Oryzias latipes: one gene and its partners. The protein of the gene in region 1 interacts with the protein of each later gene in a pairwise test. Links are inferred from orthologs where the notes say so. Each region holds a gene or a part of one and is shown in the gene's direction. Other genes may lie near its edges.

Region 1 (4,725 bases):
TCAGTGCCTCTTCTACAGCCCCATCAATGCAGACTCTTTTTTTTTGACAGACTAACAAAAGAATCTTATTTTAAATGGTGGCCTGGCAAAATGCAAGATAAGGATAATTAGAGTATGGGATAAAATTGTGGGGGATGTGACTAACGGTTCCTGATAATTCAGTTTTACGGTGGCCGACACGGCTCACACTACATGCAGAAGGAACAACACAACAGCATGAAACGGAACACAACAGAAGTAGAATACTACAGAAATGAGGAAAAAAATAATTCAGTTTCAACACCTCCACGCTTCTTGAATGGTGCGTGATATTTGTACTAGATGACGCAATTTCCTATTAGATAACGTGATTTCTTACAAGCTAGCTTGATTTCTTATGAGATGACGTGATTTCTTGCTAGATAACAGGATTTCTTATTAGATAACTTAATTCTTACCAGATAACGTGATTTCTTACTAGATAATGTAATTTTTTACCAAATAACGTAATTTCTTACTAGATAACGTGATTATTACTAGATAGTGTAATTTCTCGTTAGATAACGTAATTTCTTATTAGATAGCATGATTTCTTACTAGAAAGCGTGATTTCTGATTAGATAACGTAATTTCTTACGAGATAACGTAATTTCTTACGAGATAACGTGATTTCTTACCAATTAGCGGGATTTCTTACTAGATAACGTAATTTCTTACAAAATAACGTAATTTCTTATTAGATAACCTGATTTCTTACAAGCTAGCGTGATTTCTTATGAGATGACGTGATTTCTTACTAGATAACGGGATTTCTTATTAGATAACTTAATTCTTACCAGATAACGTGATTTCTTACTACATAATGTAATTTTTTACAAAATGACGTAATTTCTTACTAGATTACGTGATTATTACTAGATAGTGTAATTTTTCGTTAGATAACGTGATTTCTTATTAGATAACGTGATTTCTTATTAGATAACGTAATTTCTTATTAGATAGCATGATTTCTTACTAGAAAGCGTGATTTCTTATTAGATAACGTAATTTCTTACGAGATAACGTGATTTCTTACTATAAAATGAAATTTCTTACAAAATAACGTAATTTCTTATTAGATAACATGATTTCTTACCAATTAGCGTGATTTCTTTCTAGATAATGTAATTTCTTACAAAATAACGTAATTTCTTATTAGATAACATGATTTCTTACCAATTAGCGTGATTTCTTTCTAGATAATGTAATTTCTTACAAAATAACGTAATTTCTTATTAGATAACTTGTTTTCTTACTAGATAACGTGATTATTACTAGATAACGTAATTTTTCAATTAGATAACGTAAATTAATACGAGATAAAGTTGTTTCTTATGAGATAAAGTGATTTCTTACTAGATAATGTGATTTCTTATTAGATAACTTAATTTCTCACTAGAAAACGTGATTTCTTACTAGATAGCGTGATTTCTTACCAAATTACGTATTTCCTTACCATATAATGTAATTTCTTACCAAATAACGTAATTTCTTATTAGATAACGTGTTTTCTTACTAGATAACGTGATTATTACTAGATAACGTAGTTTCTCAATTAGATAACGTAATTTCTCATTAGATAACGTAAATTATTACGAGATAAAGTTGTTTCTTATGAGATAGTGATTTCTTACTAGATAACGTAATTTCTTACGAGATAACGTAATTTTTGACGAGATAACGTAAATTCTTACTAGTGTTAGATGAAAAGTGTTAGATTTATATGTTACTATGTGGAAAGCTGGCTAAATTTACATTTTCTTTTTTTTTTTTTTTAAATAGCTTGAAACACGATTATTTTCTTTTTTACCACTTCCGTTCTGGGAAAATGGAGTTCAGTGCACAACCAAACACTGTCCTGGAGCTGAAGAAACCTGTTTCTCACAAAGTCAGACCCTCAGGCTGGGGACACTGCAGCTGACTAGGAGAGCTGAAAATCTGCTGCTGTGGGTCCGCTGGGATCTGTAAAAACAGCCACAGCCCCTGCAGTAGCTGGAAGCTGGTGGTTCTGTGCTTCAGCTGGAAGGCTGGGTTTGATTATTCCTCATCTGTCACCAAACTGCAGGTCTGAGTTGATCCAGCTGGTCACCGTGACTCAGAAGAGAGCCGAGGCCTCCTACAAAGAGCTGATACAACAGCAGATCGAGTTCTACCAGCGCAGGTAAACTCAAAACTCAGCTGTTGTCAAGATTTCAGTGTCCTGCCTTCTGCTGACTTAACCAACACGTCTGTCTGCCACAGCTGGCTGAAGGTCACAGAGCACCTGACGGACCGCAACATGCCCGTCCTCCAGCCCGGCATGAAGGTCAGAAACCGCTAGCGACGGCAGCACTGGGGCAGTTAGCTTCAGGTCGTTGTAAAGGGTTAGCGCTTCTCTTTTGTGGGGGTGGGAAGTCACAAAGCAACAGCACTGGATGGCTTTATCTGGTCTCTAGTCCCAGTGTGGAGTCATGAACTCCCACATAAATCCTTTTTAATCCCCCTAAAATCTGGAAAGTCCCGTCTCAGCGGGACAGAAATCAGCTCTCAAATGACTTCAAGATTAGACTTCTGTGATACTTCATTATCAGGCTGGAGGGGATGCAAAGTCCTGCAGCGGAGTTCTGGTGGGGGAGATCATTTACATTCATTATTAGCTTCTCCTCTTAAAGTAAATCAGCGTCTAGGGTTTTACTGCCATGGAACGTTTTTTTGGTCACAGTTCCATGTTTTTCAAAGTTCTTTTGGTTCTTTCTCTGAACTGTTATAGTCTGCAGATCTTTTACCAGTTAAAGAAGCATCTCTGCCTTCAGGTTTATGCTCTAAATAAGGAGTTTTAACAAACATTGTTTTTTAATGTTTTTCTTGGATTTCGGCAGTGATTTGGGACAGCTGCATCGTACCTCAACAACATTCCAAAAATGGGACAAAGTAACTTAAGGATTTAGTCAACTCCACCCATGGGTGTCCCTAATTCCCAACTAAAACTGAAGAAACTACCTTCAAGGTTTTCATAAATTGAAAGCAAAGCAATAAACTGTCACCATGAGGCTCGGTTAGCACGTTAGCACGTCAGGACTGGATTTGCTTCCGTTGAACTGGGCTAATTAAGTATAGCAGGCCCTGCTGAAAACCTGTTTTTAGGTCTTTTTATACAAGCAGTTGCTTTGGTACACTCTCAAACGTTTAATTTGAAACCAGTCCAGACCCGATGCTGGTATACAATCGTGGTTTCATGTGAACAGCCATCATGTACACTCTGTAACCCTTTAAACGCTTTCTCCTCCTTCAGCTGAAAGATAAAGAGCGGCAAGTGATTAAAGAGAAGTTCAAGGTAAGGAGTTTAAAGTATGGCAGAGCAAAAACAGCTCTGAGCTGCAGCTCTGACCAGAGAGTCTCTTAGGGCTTCAACGATGGTTTGGAGGAGCTGTGTAAGATCCAGAAGGGTTGGGCCATCCCAGACAAAGATCAGCGAGACTTCATCCGGCAAGCTCAGAAGACAGCGGTGTCGGATGCTTACAGAGTCTTCCTGCAGAGGTGAGGGACACATCCCAGCAGCAGTCTCATCTGTGGCGGTGTTGCACTACGTACACACTGGTGCGTTCCGCGTCCCCTTGAACGCACCACACAAGCCGGGTGCCTTGTGTTCTACAAGGCCCTGAAAGCGTTTTTAGCAGACGGTGTTCACACCGGTCTGTTGCTACCCGATACGAACGCATGAACGTACAGCCGGAAGAGGTTGTGTCTGAATGCGAAAAACCAGTTCGCATCTATGCTCACTAGATCTGCGAATATAGACCACAATGCATTGCAACATAAAAATTTTTGCCAAAAAATGTATTTAAATGTATTTTTTTGATAAACCATCAACGTTTTTATCTTCAGAAGACAGTGGACTCATAAATAATCGTCCCAAAACGCTCATTTTAATTAGATTTTAACTTTGTGAAATCGATGATTTCATATTCGCCGTGAAAAAGAATAAAAGTCGTGAGCGTGGCGTCTGAATTGCTTTTAAAATCCAGGACAATAGATAGTGCCACTATCTAGTTTTTTAGTATTTATGGGTCAGGGTGGGAACTTTGGTGTCATAGTTGATTCATTTCTCCTTCATGGTCAATTTTCAAACGGTTCTCACTTCTGTGTTTTGACAAGGACGACATCCATACGTCGCTCCCAGACAGAGTCCCTGATTGGTCAACTAGTTCACCTTTGAGCGCACGTTCAACGGACGCGCATTAGGTACAGAAAGCCTGAAAACAGGCGTAAAAACTCGAAAGAATTTTGAATGTAGAAGCCGAAATGTGGACTTTCTATCGGACGCGGTCCCTTGAAAGGGCGTTTCCGAGCCGGGTGGGAACGTAGCGCAACACTGTTTTTCTGCTCCATCATATTTGATTTAAATCTGTCAAGGAAAGAAGTTGGATAAGCCTAAAATAGTGTGTGTGAGCCACAGCCGCTATCTATCAACTGTTTTCCAGATGTACCAACATTTCCTTCACCAAGAACCCTGAGAAGTACCACAAGTACCGGCCAGAAGAGGTGGAGGAGATGATCGAGAAGCTTTTTGACACGTCTGCCTGAAGCAGGAAGTCCTGAGGCTCAAAACTGCGTGCGTCACACAAAGACCATGTGTTCACAAGCTGAGAAATAAACTAGAATTTTTCTGCAGACACATCAGAACTTTTATGAAAACAAACTCTCAAACAGGCAAACCTTTTACATTTT
Region 2 (5,413 bases), on another chromosome or scaffold:
TCAACTGGTTTAACTTTCAACGCAAGTCCAATGGCCACATGTTTTGTACGTAGAGCCCAAAAATGGTCTTAAAATGTGCGTAGCTACGTGTGAACGCGAGAGTTTTGACCAAGGAAGCCTGAAATGCACATTCCATATGCAGTACATATATGTAAACAAGTCTACAGACGCGTCTGGACTTTTCATTGAAAGTGCTTGAAGGTACGTTGCTGAGGGTGGTGTGAAGGTATATTTATACATTCATAGTTCAAATGTGGAAAACAGAGGTACCGGGACCAGCAGGCCTTTGTACTTCTCATAGTAATGCATCTCCAAAGGAAGCGGTTAGGCAGAGATTTTTACACCGGATGCCCTTATTGATACAAGCCTATACATAGATAGGAAGTAGCAAAGAGGGTCTAGCACTCATCCAAGAGTTTTTCCCAAGGATCCAAGGACTGGATGAAGCTCTTCGCCCCCCCCCCCCCCCCCCCCCCCCCCCCCCCCCCCTGGTTTCCCAGGTGCCAGTGCTGCATGCAGGCAACTGAGCCATCCCTCCTATACAGAGACGGAGAGCTATATCTGGGTGGAGGTTTAGTGAAGGTAGTGGAAGTCCATGTGGGTGATTATGTACCTGGAGGAGTTTAGAGGCTGGGTACTTCAGCTTTTAGGCAACAGTGCCAATAAAGTCCAGGTAAGAACAAACCAGGTAAATCGTCCACCAATCCACACCATGAGATAATCCAGTGCAGAGCAGTAATAACAATAAAAACAAAAAATCTAACAGTGAGCAGCAGCTACAAGACATATCAGGATGAAAGCTTCCTGATCTATCTGAGAAGCCTCCAACTACATTGACATGAACCTGAGCCAGCTTCACAATCCGCCTCAGCTGAGCATGTTTGTAGCTATTAACAACTCCAGCAGCACTCAGTAGTTCTCCGATTCCCCCCCCCCCCCCCCAGCCATAAAACTCCTCCATGTTTTCCATGAAAGGCCTAATTAACAAATGCATAATTTTTTTTTCTATCTCCTGCAGTGGAAGTCTCAGAGAAGAACTAGGGGATGAACAGATACAGGATGAAAGGTTTTGACGGAAAGGTGTAATATCTGAGTAATGCTGCAAAAAGGGGACTTTTGGGACAGTGTTCTTTAATAAAGCGTTTAAATGATACTGATAGTTGTTGATCTGATTTTCTAGTTTTTTCCTGCTTAAGAAAGTTTTTTATGCAGGAAAACATACTCTGAATGGGATATATTTTTTCTTTAGTGTTTGTATTAGTTTTAAATTTAACACAGCCCATAAACACCTTGATAAAAATCTACGATTTTAAGGTATGTACTACTGATGAAAGCATGTGTGCATCCTCTTTGTATGTTACACTTGTATTGATTTTGTGTCATATCTTGCATGTGACAAATTTGCAATTGGTCAAGAAGGGGAAAAGAGAGATGTCAGTTGTGCATTTTTTCCAAAAAAAAACATAAAACAGTATTCCATGCTTTCATTACATCCCCGTTGGATCACTGTAACAATGTATCTCAGGCAGATGGGCTCCCCTCTGGCGCCTCCAGCTGGTCTAGATAGCTGCTGCTCATTTCCACTTGAAGTTTCAGTGAAGCCACATCATCCATGTCTGTACATTTTAAAGTGTTCTTATGAGTGAACGAAAATGTCTTTTAAAAAATGTCTTATCATCTCAATTCATAAAGAACTAGTTGGTTCTTTGAGCTTATCTCTTCATCCAGTCATGACGTTTGAACTTGCGAAAGGAACCAGACTTGTCTAAACTTCTACCGCTGGGTGGGTCTACCTACTGGGGTGTTTAGCCTAACCTGGTTTAACTATGAGGATGAACCTGATGATTGCACGCGCACATGGTGGCTTTAAAACTGACTGTAAATTGATTCTTGTTTTTAAATGAACGATAATATCAGAAACACGTGAAAAAGACTTCTCGAGAATGTGTACCACCAGAGGTCGGCGGTAAGCTAGTGCGCACGCGTAGTGGCGCTTTGTGCGGTTGCCTTGGTAGCAGGAGGAGGAAGAGGCGGAACGTCTTAGTAGGACCCCTTATGAGGAGGACCGGAGCCGTGCAGAGTAACGTCAGGGGTTTATTAAGGTGAGTGTCCGTTTCCACAACCAAAGTTTAGTTTACTATTCTTTACGAATGGTTAACGGAGGCTAACAGCTGTTAATTTGTCATCTCCTACGTATTAGCTCGTTAGCTGTTAGCCGCAAAAAATCGAAGAGGGGAAAAAAAGATGGTTGAGAGGTTCATACAACGTGTACAAACACTTCTGCCAAAGTCTGAGACTGTGGAGCTCCAAGTTTAGAGGCATTTTTTGAGGTCGCCGGGACAGAAAAACTCAACGTTCTTGTTTACTCAGATCTAGTCTGAGTTTGTTGCTTATTTATTCATTTATTTTTGACGTATTTTCTTACTGTAGTGTAGAAAATCGATGCTTGTGACGTCACCCATAGATTTTTTTTTAAAGAAAACTTTATTATCTAAAATACACAAACAATGTGTGCAGATTAGTCACCAAAACAATTCTTGTGGCATGGATTACAGCTTTGAACGGCGCGATAATCATTTAACGTGGTTAAAAACATGAAGGGGGGTTGTTTAGGTGTAAATGTAGAAATTAAAATAAATAATCTTCATTCATTGAATTGGTGCTAAATGGACTAAGATTCACAATAAAGATGAAAACAATTTGTACAGTAACACTACCCCCCCCCCCCCCCCCCGAAACCAGGAAGTACCCAACACTGCAGTGCTATGAAAGACCGCTGGAGGCAGCATTTCACTAATTTTAATGTTTAAAAGTCTAGCCCAGCTCAAAAACTAAACAATGTATATTTTGTTTCTGACGCTTTTTGGATGTAGAGAGGGTATAACAGAGCCACACAATTACGCAAACTGCCACAAACACTTCATTATTATTGTTATTATTATTATTAATCAGATTAATCCATCCTGAACTCATCTGTTCAGGGGGGATGGAGGTTGGACTGCACCAAGGATCAGCTTTAATCCTTTTTGTTTGCTGTAGTGCTAGACAGACTGACAGAAGGACTGACAGGAATCTCTGTGGAGCGTGATGTCTGCAGATGACCTGTGGATCTGTAGTGAGCGCAGGGAGCAGAAGGAGGAACACTTTAGAGAGGTAAAGGTTTGTTCAGGAAAGGAGAGGAATGAAGGTTAGCTCCAGAAAGACTGAATGTGTAAATGAGAGGAACTAAAGAGGAACGGTGAGGTTACAGGGAGCAGAGGAGAAGAAGGTGGAGGACTTTAAATACATAGCTCAGAGGTGAAGAGGCGTGTGGAAGCAAATTGGAATGGGTGTAATTTGTGTGTTATTTTTATTTGCTAAAACGTTATTTTTGTAAAAGCTTTTAAGCGCAATTTTAGAGTTTTGAATTTAAATAAACATCTGTTTATGCGGTTTCGGAATGTTGGACAGACATCTTCATTCCTCCATTTGTTTCTGAAAACTTTTAACACTGACTGAAGGTCTGTTCATAAGCTTCCAAGTACATAATACTATGGTAAATTATATTATTTTGTCCTACTGGACTGGACTAAAGTAATGCAGTTGCGGAATTTATCTGTTGTGTTAAAGAAATAGACAAGCCAAAATGCAAAGCTTTCAAATTACTTCTCAATCTTTGTCCTGTAAGGCAGTAATTGTATCTTTCTAAACTCCTGCTGGTTGTTAACAGTCCATAACTGGACTTGTGGCTGACGCTAGACATCACTGGACTGTATCAGCATGTTTGGTAACTCTGGTACGGTCAGTAAAGTATTATGGTGAATGGAAGAAACGGTAAGCATCAGTCCCAAGTCCTTCAGTGTCCGTTACATCCAAAAGGATAAAGTCAAATCTAGCCTACATACATTCATCCATATGTGAAACAACTCTTTATAATAATTTTTTCATTTTAAAAGATGTTTTTTTTCTTTTTAGACTTTATAAAGAGTGTTTATCATTGTGGATCAAACTCCTGCGTCTGTCAGGTGGTTAAACTGGTGCTGAGTGTTTGAGGAGTTTTGGAAATAACACAATATTTGACCCACAGGAGACTCCATGGCTAAAGATCCGTTGGCTGAAGCTGGCTTCCACTTTGACGAGGTAAACAAGCTGCGGGTTCTAGAGCCAGATGTGAGCCAGAGCACGGCGGAGCTGAAGGAGGAGTGCAGAGAGTTTGTGGACAGTAAGAATCCACGGATCTGTTGTCCACCCCGTCCCACCCAAAGCTCCTATAGGTCTGTGTCTCTGCAGAGATCGGACAATTCCAGAAGATTGTGGGCGGTCTCATCAGCACAGTGGACGGGTTGGCCAAGGAGGCGGAGACTGAAAAGATGAAGGTGAGGCTCCCCTCTTCTCAGGTTAGGTCAAAACCTACAGTTCATCAGTGTTGGCAGTTATAGTTACCCAGTACTTAATCCTATAAGTAATAGATTTAACCAGTTGAATTATTCTATAATAAAAGTAACCAATTTTAGCAGGAAAAAACTATTTACTTCACATTAAAGAAAAACTGTTTTTTGTAGATTTTTTGGACCAGTTTTAACAATTCAATTGGAATGAGTAAAATAGACCCAAACTTTTATTTAACATTATTTACATTGGAGGAACTCCAACACCTTCTGGTAAGCTGCCCAGTTTCCTCCTGACAGACATGTTGTGGTGGAAAAGCTGCTGGAGCTGCGTTTGATTTACTGTTTTTAGTTTATGTCAAACATTCAGTAACCCGATCAAACAAAAACTGCTCCTCATTGGCTGATATCACTTCCTGCAGGCCATTGGAGCCAGGAACCTTCTGACATCTGTGGCGAAGCAGAGGGAGGAGCATCAGCAGCTGCTAAAGGGTCTTATTGCTGAGAAGAAGATGCAGCTGGAGAGGTACCCCACCCCCCCCACCCCTCTAAATCCTGCAGGAGTGGCGTCCATGCTCCCTGCTAACAGCTGCTACTTTCTTTAAGGTACCGGGTGGAGTACGAAGCCCTTTCCCGGGTAGAGGCGGAGCAGAGCGAGTTCATCAACCAATTCATCCTGCAAAAGTGAGGCGGGACTCACCTGTCTGAGGCTGCTGCCTACAGCTTAAGCCACCCTGCTGTGGGGTCGGGGTGGTGGTGGTGGGAGGCTCCAGGACACCTTCCTGTTTGTCCCACATGTGTTGTCACACTGTGACCCCTCCACCCCCTTGCTCAGAGAGCACACACTCATCAAGGCGGCTGGTTTGTTTCCCGCTACACAAGATCCTGACATGGACATGAACTGAAACTCAAACCTGGGTCGGACTCAGCAGGTGCTGTTTACATCTGTGCATGGGAGGGTGGAGCGGGCGCTGAGTAACTGAGATGTACAATAAAGTTTTCATGTTCAAATGAGATCTGTTTCCTTCAGAGACACGATGAATATA
Region 3 (5,364 bases), on another chromosome or scaffold:
CAAGCAGCAAAAATAAATCTTGGATCTTTTTATCATTTTGAAATGCACCCCCCCCCCCCACGCACACACAAATGTTGATTTTTCAAAACAAATTAACTTGCTTCTTTTGTTTCTTTCCTCCATTTAAAATTCAACAATGACGAGATGTCCTAAACGTTCAATTTGATTGAAACATTCTCCAACCTGTATTATAATTATTTTCCAGCTGAATAAGATGACATGGAACATGTATCAAGAATTTAATTATCAAGACTTTTGGGCGGCAGTTTAGCTCAGGCAGTAGAGCAGGTCGTCCATTAACCGCAGGGTTGGTGGATCAATCCCAGCTGTTGCCCCCCGAGCGTGGCTAGTCTGCAGCTCACCGCTCCCCCCATGGGATGGGTCAAAATGCAGAGAAAAACTTCCCCATGGTGGGATAAATAAAGTGTTAATTTTAAACATTTAGAAGCTCCGAAATAGTTGTGCAACCTTTACCAGTAGTGGTGGAGGTTAAAATATGTGTCTGTTGTGTCTCCAACCTTTGAAATGCAAAGTTTTGCACCTGTATGTATGGGAAGGAAAAATTTTAAGAGTCCTATCTAGTGTAACTTTGTGCTGAATTATTGTTTGTCACTGCAGGACTACAGTCACACCCATCCACACCCTGCAGCTTATTACAGTTACCCTGAGCATCCTGGAACACCAAGAAAGTGGAGCCCAAGAGCGAGCCCTGCTCACACTGTAAGACCAATGAACGGAATCACAGAAGCCTAAACAGCTGAATAGAACTGAGTGTTTGAACATGTGGGTTTCATTTCTAGGATTACACTCCTGTCACGATAGGGGAACCAAGTTCTGAAAACCAGCAAGTACAGCAACGGACAGCTGGGGTCTCGCCCAGGCATGACAGAAGCACTGAGGTAAAACTCTGTCAGCCTTTTTTGGCTCATGTTGACATAAAATCAAAAGAAATAAAAACTACCCATGTGCCCCCCCCCCCCACCCCCCACCCCCTGAATTCCCTCTAGGAGAACAAAGTGAATGAGAATGAAGAGAAGATTTCCTTTCCTGTGCCTGGAGCAACAGACTGCCTCCACTCCTCTGAGGACTGCGCTCAGTACCAGATTAAGAAGGATGGAGATGAAAAAAGGTGGAGCTCAGAGTTCTTTTCAACATTGCCACTGGACACAGACACCTCTGAATCCTGCAGCGTTTACACGTCAGAGAAACTGGACTTTTTATAAAACAGGTGCCAAAATGAGAAAAGAAGGACATTATAGAATGAACAAATAACAGTGAAGGACATTACTCAATGCAAGTTACAGTTCAAAATATTTTGGTAAACATAATCTTTGGATGCATGAATTTAGCATTGCATTTTCTGTCTCATGTTGCAGTGGTGGATTGTACTCTTAAGATCTCTTGCTGTTACCTACCTCCAGACCCTCAGGGCCACTGTTATCTGCACTGTGTTTACTGAGTGTCACCCTGTTTGCAAGTGTTGTATTATTTCTAGAGCTGCATAGAGTATTGACACTAAATATATATATTTCATACTCACTTAAACATTCTTCCACAGTGTTAATACATTTATAACCCAAACAACAATTATTGAATTAGTTATGATCTTATCTGTAACAGTGTAGTATTTGTTGCAGGTGTCATTCCTTTCAACTCAATGCAACTGTAAAGTGCTGTGAAATGTGCTTTTCCATTTGGTCTGCTAACCTTTGAACTTCATGAACAAAACATAAAATATTTCTATAACAAAAATTTAAAATAAACACGTGGTAAACAATAAATCCGTTTTATCTAAACACACGTAATCCAATTTTTAGTTTCAGATTACTAGTTTCCTGCTAGACACAGTAATCCAACGCATTGTTCATTTTAAGCACTAGGGGGCAGTGTGGAGACAACGTTCGAATTGCGTTTAGCAGACATTTCACGAAGAAGAAGAAGCTGGCTCATTTTATTGAGGCTATGAAAGGGCATAGCTTTTCTTAGTTTCAATTCAGTCATTATCGGTGCACACTAGCGAAACACAAGGTTGGAGTAAGCATATATTACTTTCCAGAGGAGACTATTTACACAGCGTTGGGAACATGTCTCTGGTTTGTGCAAGTAAGCTAAGTGAAAACCTTTGAAATGTGTGTGTTTAGCGAGGCGCCACGCAAATGCTACTAGTAACTAGCTAATGTAGCAGTTAGCGGCCATCAATGCCGCCTTTTATATGGAATTGCTTCCGTTCATTTTATGTTTGTTGCTTTTATTTACTTTTTAAAAAAGAATTTACTGATTTAGAATAGTCTTTCAAGCGGTTGCCACACCTTTATTTCAGTCTGCAACGAGGTTCCAGAGCACCCGTGCATCTCTCCGGTGTCCAACCATGTGTTCGAGCGCAGACTGATAGAGAAGTACATCGCTGAGAATGGGACGGACCCGATGAACGGACAGCCCCTGTCCGAGGAGCAGCTTGTGGATATCAAAGGTAAACGACACATCAGCCTATAATGGCGCAGGTTCAAGACCTTCGTCTTAAAAAGCAAATATCATTCATAACATATTGCATCTCTAAAGCACGTCAATTTACAAAATTTAAATAAATATATAAGAAAATTAAGCAAAGAAACAACGAATTTATGAAACCAAAACTATTGGAAAAACAATTTTTCACAAAGTATTTAAAAAAAAATGCCAGAAAGTTGATCAAAAAACAGCAGTAACAAATGGTGTGGGGGGGAAAAGTACTTTTTTGTTGTTTTTAAAAAATAGAGAAGGTCATAATAACATATTTATTAAATATCTATAGTAAAAAAACAAAAACTAATACACTGACACACACGCCTAACCTAAAAATATTGTTGTAGTATATTTGCAACACTTAATTAGTGGGCCTATAATCATGCTTTTCTTAAGCATTTCAGAGTAAACTATATCCATATAAATGACATATATTACCTTTGGAACACTAAAGAACAAATTATTTATGAAATATTAGTTATTTCAGCTCCTTTTCCTACCTGGAGGTAAGACTTTCGATCTCTGAGGCACTGGCTTTCGCTCCTTCCTTGTGGTTGCCGCCCATTTCATTTTGTTAACTTAGAGCTGGCCTCGCCAGTGTGTCTGCGTTTCGCCCACAAAAACAAACAAAATCCAAACTTGTAAAGATGGATGTATTGTGCATATAAAAGGTGGTTTGGGGGGTCTGGGTTTAGAGGAATGCTCAGAGCTTCGTCAATGGATCAAAATATGGCTTTGGGGTCGTTTTTCTTGAGGGCTTAACATTATGATTCACTTAAAGCTCAAAAAGTTGATTTTGCATGATAAGAAAACCTAATGTGGATACAGTGATTCTATACGGCTTTAGAAAATGTCTGCTTTAATTTCTTTGTAGTTACTCATCCTATTCGACCAAAGGCTCCATCTGCTACTAGCATTCCTGCCATTCTCAAGTCACTTCAAGACGAGTGGGTAAGTAGCATCAACGTATACAATGTTTTTAGTCATTAAAATATGAATAACAGTTCATTTTTACAATTGTGGCAGAATGGGATCATATCTTGTCAGTGGAATTGTCATTATTTAATGAAGAATGTGTTTTGGTCAAACAAAACGTCATGATCTGCGTTTGATGTGATGGGTTCCTTCTGGAATCCGCTTTTCAAAACGACCCGAAGTGGATTTTGAGAGATTCTCTGGTAAAAGTAACCTGACCCATTTTCTTTTGTGAATTAGGATGCTGTGATGCTTCATAGTTTCACCTTGAGGCAGCAGCTGCAGACGACTCGCCAAGAACTCTCTCATGCCCTTTACCAGCACGATGCCGCCTGCAGAGTCATCGCCCGCCTCAACAAAGAGGTCACTGCTGCAAGAGAAGGTCAGTGAAGTTTGCGTCAAATGCTATCTTACAAAGTGATTTTGAATGAAGAGTGTGTTTTGTTTATTCATAATTGGGGTTGTCTAATTGGCTCATTTGTTTGTCTTTTTTTCCAGCTCTTGCTACACTTAAACCCCAAGCTGGACTGGTGGCCCCTCAAGCAGTCCCTGCCTCTCAGCCAGCTGCTGCAGTAAAATTTGATTTATTTATTGAATTATTTTCCTTTAAAAAAAAGGCTTTGTATTGACTTTCATAACTCATCTGTCTAATAACTGTCAATATTGTGTTTCAGGGTGCTGGTGGAGAACCCATGGAGATCAGTGAACAGGTGGGAATGACCCCAGAGATCATTCAGAAGGTACGGCTTTCTTTAGTTTTAAAAACCATTCTACTTTGTAAAGTTTGTTTGTAGAAAGATTTTGTTCCTTTGGTCTATTTGACTGTTGTTGTGTGTTTGCAGCTTCAAGACAAGGCGACCATCCTCACCACAGAGAGAAAGAAGGTGCAGTATTGACTACAACCTAACAGTTTGTGGAGTCTTTATCTGTCTTGGTAGCGCCCAGTTCACCCTGTGTTTTTTTTTTATCTACAGAGAGGAAAAACTGTTCCAGAGGATTTGGTCAGAGCTGAAGATCTCAGCAAGTACCGCCAAGTTGCTTCCCACGCTGTAAGAAGAGATTCTGGAGAATCCAGAGGATGTAACTTTTTGTTTGGATTGCTTCATATTTGTGGTGTGACTTTGATATTTCCTGTAGGGTCTGCATAGTGCCAGTGTGCCTGGTATTCTGGCTCTGGATGTGTGTCCCTCTGACACCAACAAAGTGCTCACAGGTAAAGTGTCATTATTTTAATGTTGATTTAGTTTTAGGTGATTTTGTGTGCTTTTGTTTTGACTTTATGAAAACTGGCTGTTTAAGGTGCAGCGTTGTGAGTTTCACTCTTGTGCTGCTGCTTCTCCCTGACTGAAGCCTTTTTTCAGCACAGCACCCAGGAGAGACTTGAATTCAAAAGCTGAAAGGTGCAAGTGGAGCATCAGTGCTTTGTTTATAACAGGAGTTGCATTTTAAAAAATAACCCACAATATGTGAGATCTACAAAGTACTGGTATTCTTTTTTTTTTTTTTTTTTATGGGGGTGCCCACATTTTCTTTTTGGCAGGCAAGCTACTTTTGAGACGACAAGCTCCAAAAGAATTACCTACAGTATTTTGAGCTGAGAACCAGTGCAGTATTTTGTCTAAAATACTGTTTATGTACTAAAAATTCAAAAGCTACAGAGTAAGAGTATGCACATCTTTGTAAGGAGAAAGCCTTGTTGTGTGTATTAATATTATTTTTGTAGTAATACATAATTTGGAACACATAAGGCGTTCTGTTGTGAAAACAAAAAGCAGTGACTATTGCCCTCTATGTTCTGCTGTAAACCGTGTTGGAGAAGGTAGGACATTTGAAAAGCGCGGCAGGCTTAACCATGATTGAGCGAACAGCGGCCACTGGCCCGTGGAC

The links. The genes of interacting proteins can lie anywhere in the genome.
Region 2: the proteins of exoc7 (region 1) and ift20 interact in binary tests that used the Homo sapiens proteins (3 or more experiments, as listed by UniProt). The two-hybrid records come from large-scale screens. The link is inferred for Oryzias latipes from reciprocal best matches to the Homo sapiens genes EXOC7 and IFT20.
Region 3: the proteins of exoc7 (region 1) and prpf19 interact in a two-hybrid assay, tested with the Homo sapiens proteins (2 studies listed by BioGRID and IntAct, with this or other methods). The link is inferred for Oryzias latipes from reciprocal best matches to the Homo sapiens genes EXOC7 and PRPF19.

Annotation. Positions count from the first base shown.
Region 1 is NC_019877.2:22,395,585-22,400,309, reverse strand, and holds part of exoc7 (exocyst complex component 7), read left to right. Parts: intron 1-2,083; coding exon 2,084-2,179; intron 2,180-2,259; coding exon 2,260-2,323; intron 2,324-3,289; coding exon 3,290-3,331; intron 3,332-3,400; coding exon 3,401-3,534; intron 3,535-4,478; coding exon 4,479-4,581; 3' UTR 4,582-4,725. UniProt on the Homo sapiens protein: Component of the exocyst complex involved in the docking of exocytic vesicles with fusion sites on the plasma membrane.
Region 2 is NC_019871.2:17,866,559-17,871,971, forward strand, and holds ift20 (intraflagellar transport protein 20 homolog), read left to right. Parts: upstream 1-1,969; 5' UTR 1,970-2,102; intron 2,103-3,039; exon of another isoform or gene 3,040-3,153; intron 3,154-4,066; 5' UTR 4,067-4,074; coding exon 4,075-4,201; intron 4,202-4,269; coding exon 4,270-4,355; intron 4,356-4,789; coding exon 4,790-4,893; intron 4,894-4,973; coding exon 4,974-5,055; 3' UTR 5,056-5,381; downstream 5,382-5,413. UniProt on the Homo sapiens protein: Part of intraflagellar transport (IFT) particles involved in ciliary process assembly. May play a role in the trafficking of ciliary membrane proteins from the Golgi complex to the cilium.
Region 3 is NC_019868.2:15,897,922-15,903,285, reverse strand, and holds the start of prpf19 (pre-mRNA-processing factor 19), read left to right. Parts: upstream 1-1,920; 5' UTR 1,921-2,084; coding exon 2,085-2,103; intron 2,104-2,320; coding exon 2,321-2,470; intron 2,471-3,376; coding exon 3,377-3,453; intron 3,454-3,717; coding exon 3,718-3,859; intron 3,860-3,975; coding exon 3,976-4,049; intron 4,050-4,151; coding exon 4,152-4,217; intron 4,218-4,319; coding exon 4,320-4,361; intron 4,362-4,451; coding exon 4,452-4,526; intron 4,527-4,614; coding exon 4,615-4,690; intron 4,691-5,364. Other genes in the region: uncharacterized protein LOC101174031, read left to right, coding at 619-720, 801-899, 1,008-1,223. UniProt on the Homo sapiens protein: Ubiquitin-protein ligase which is a core component of several complexes mainly involved pre-mRNA splicing and DNA repair. Required for pre-mRNA splicing as component of the spliceosome.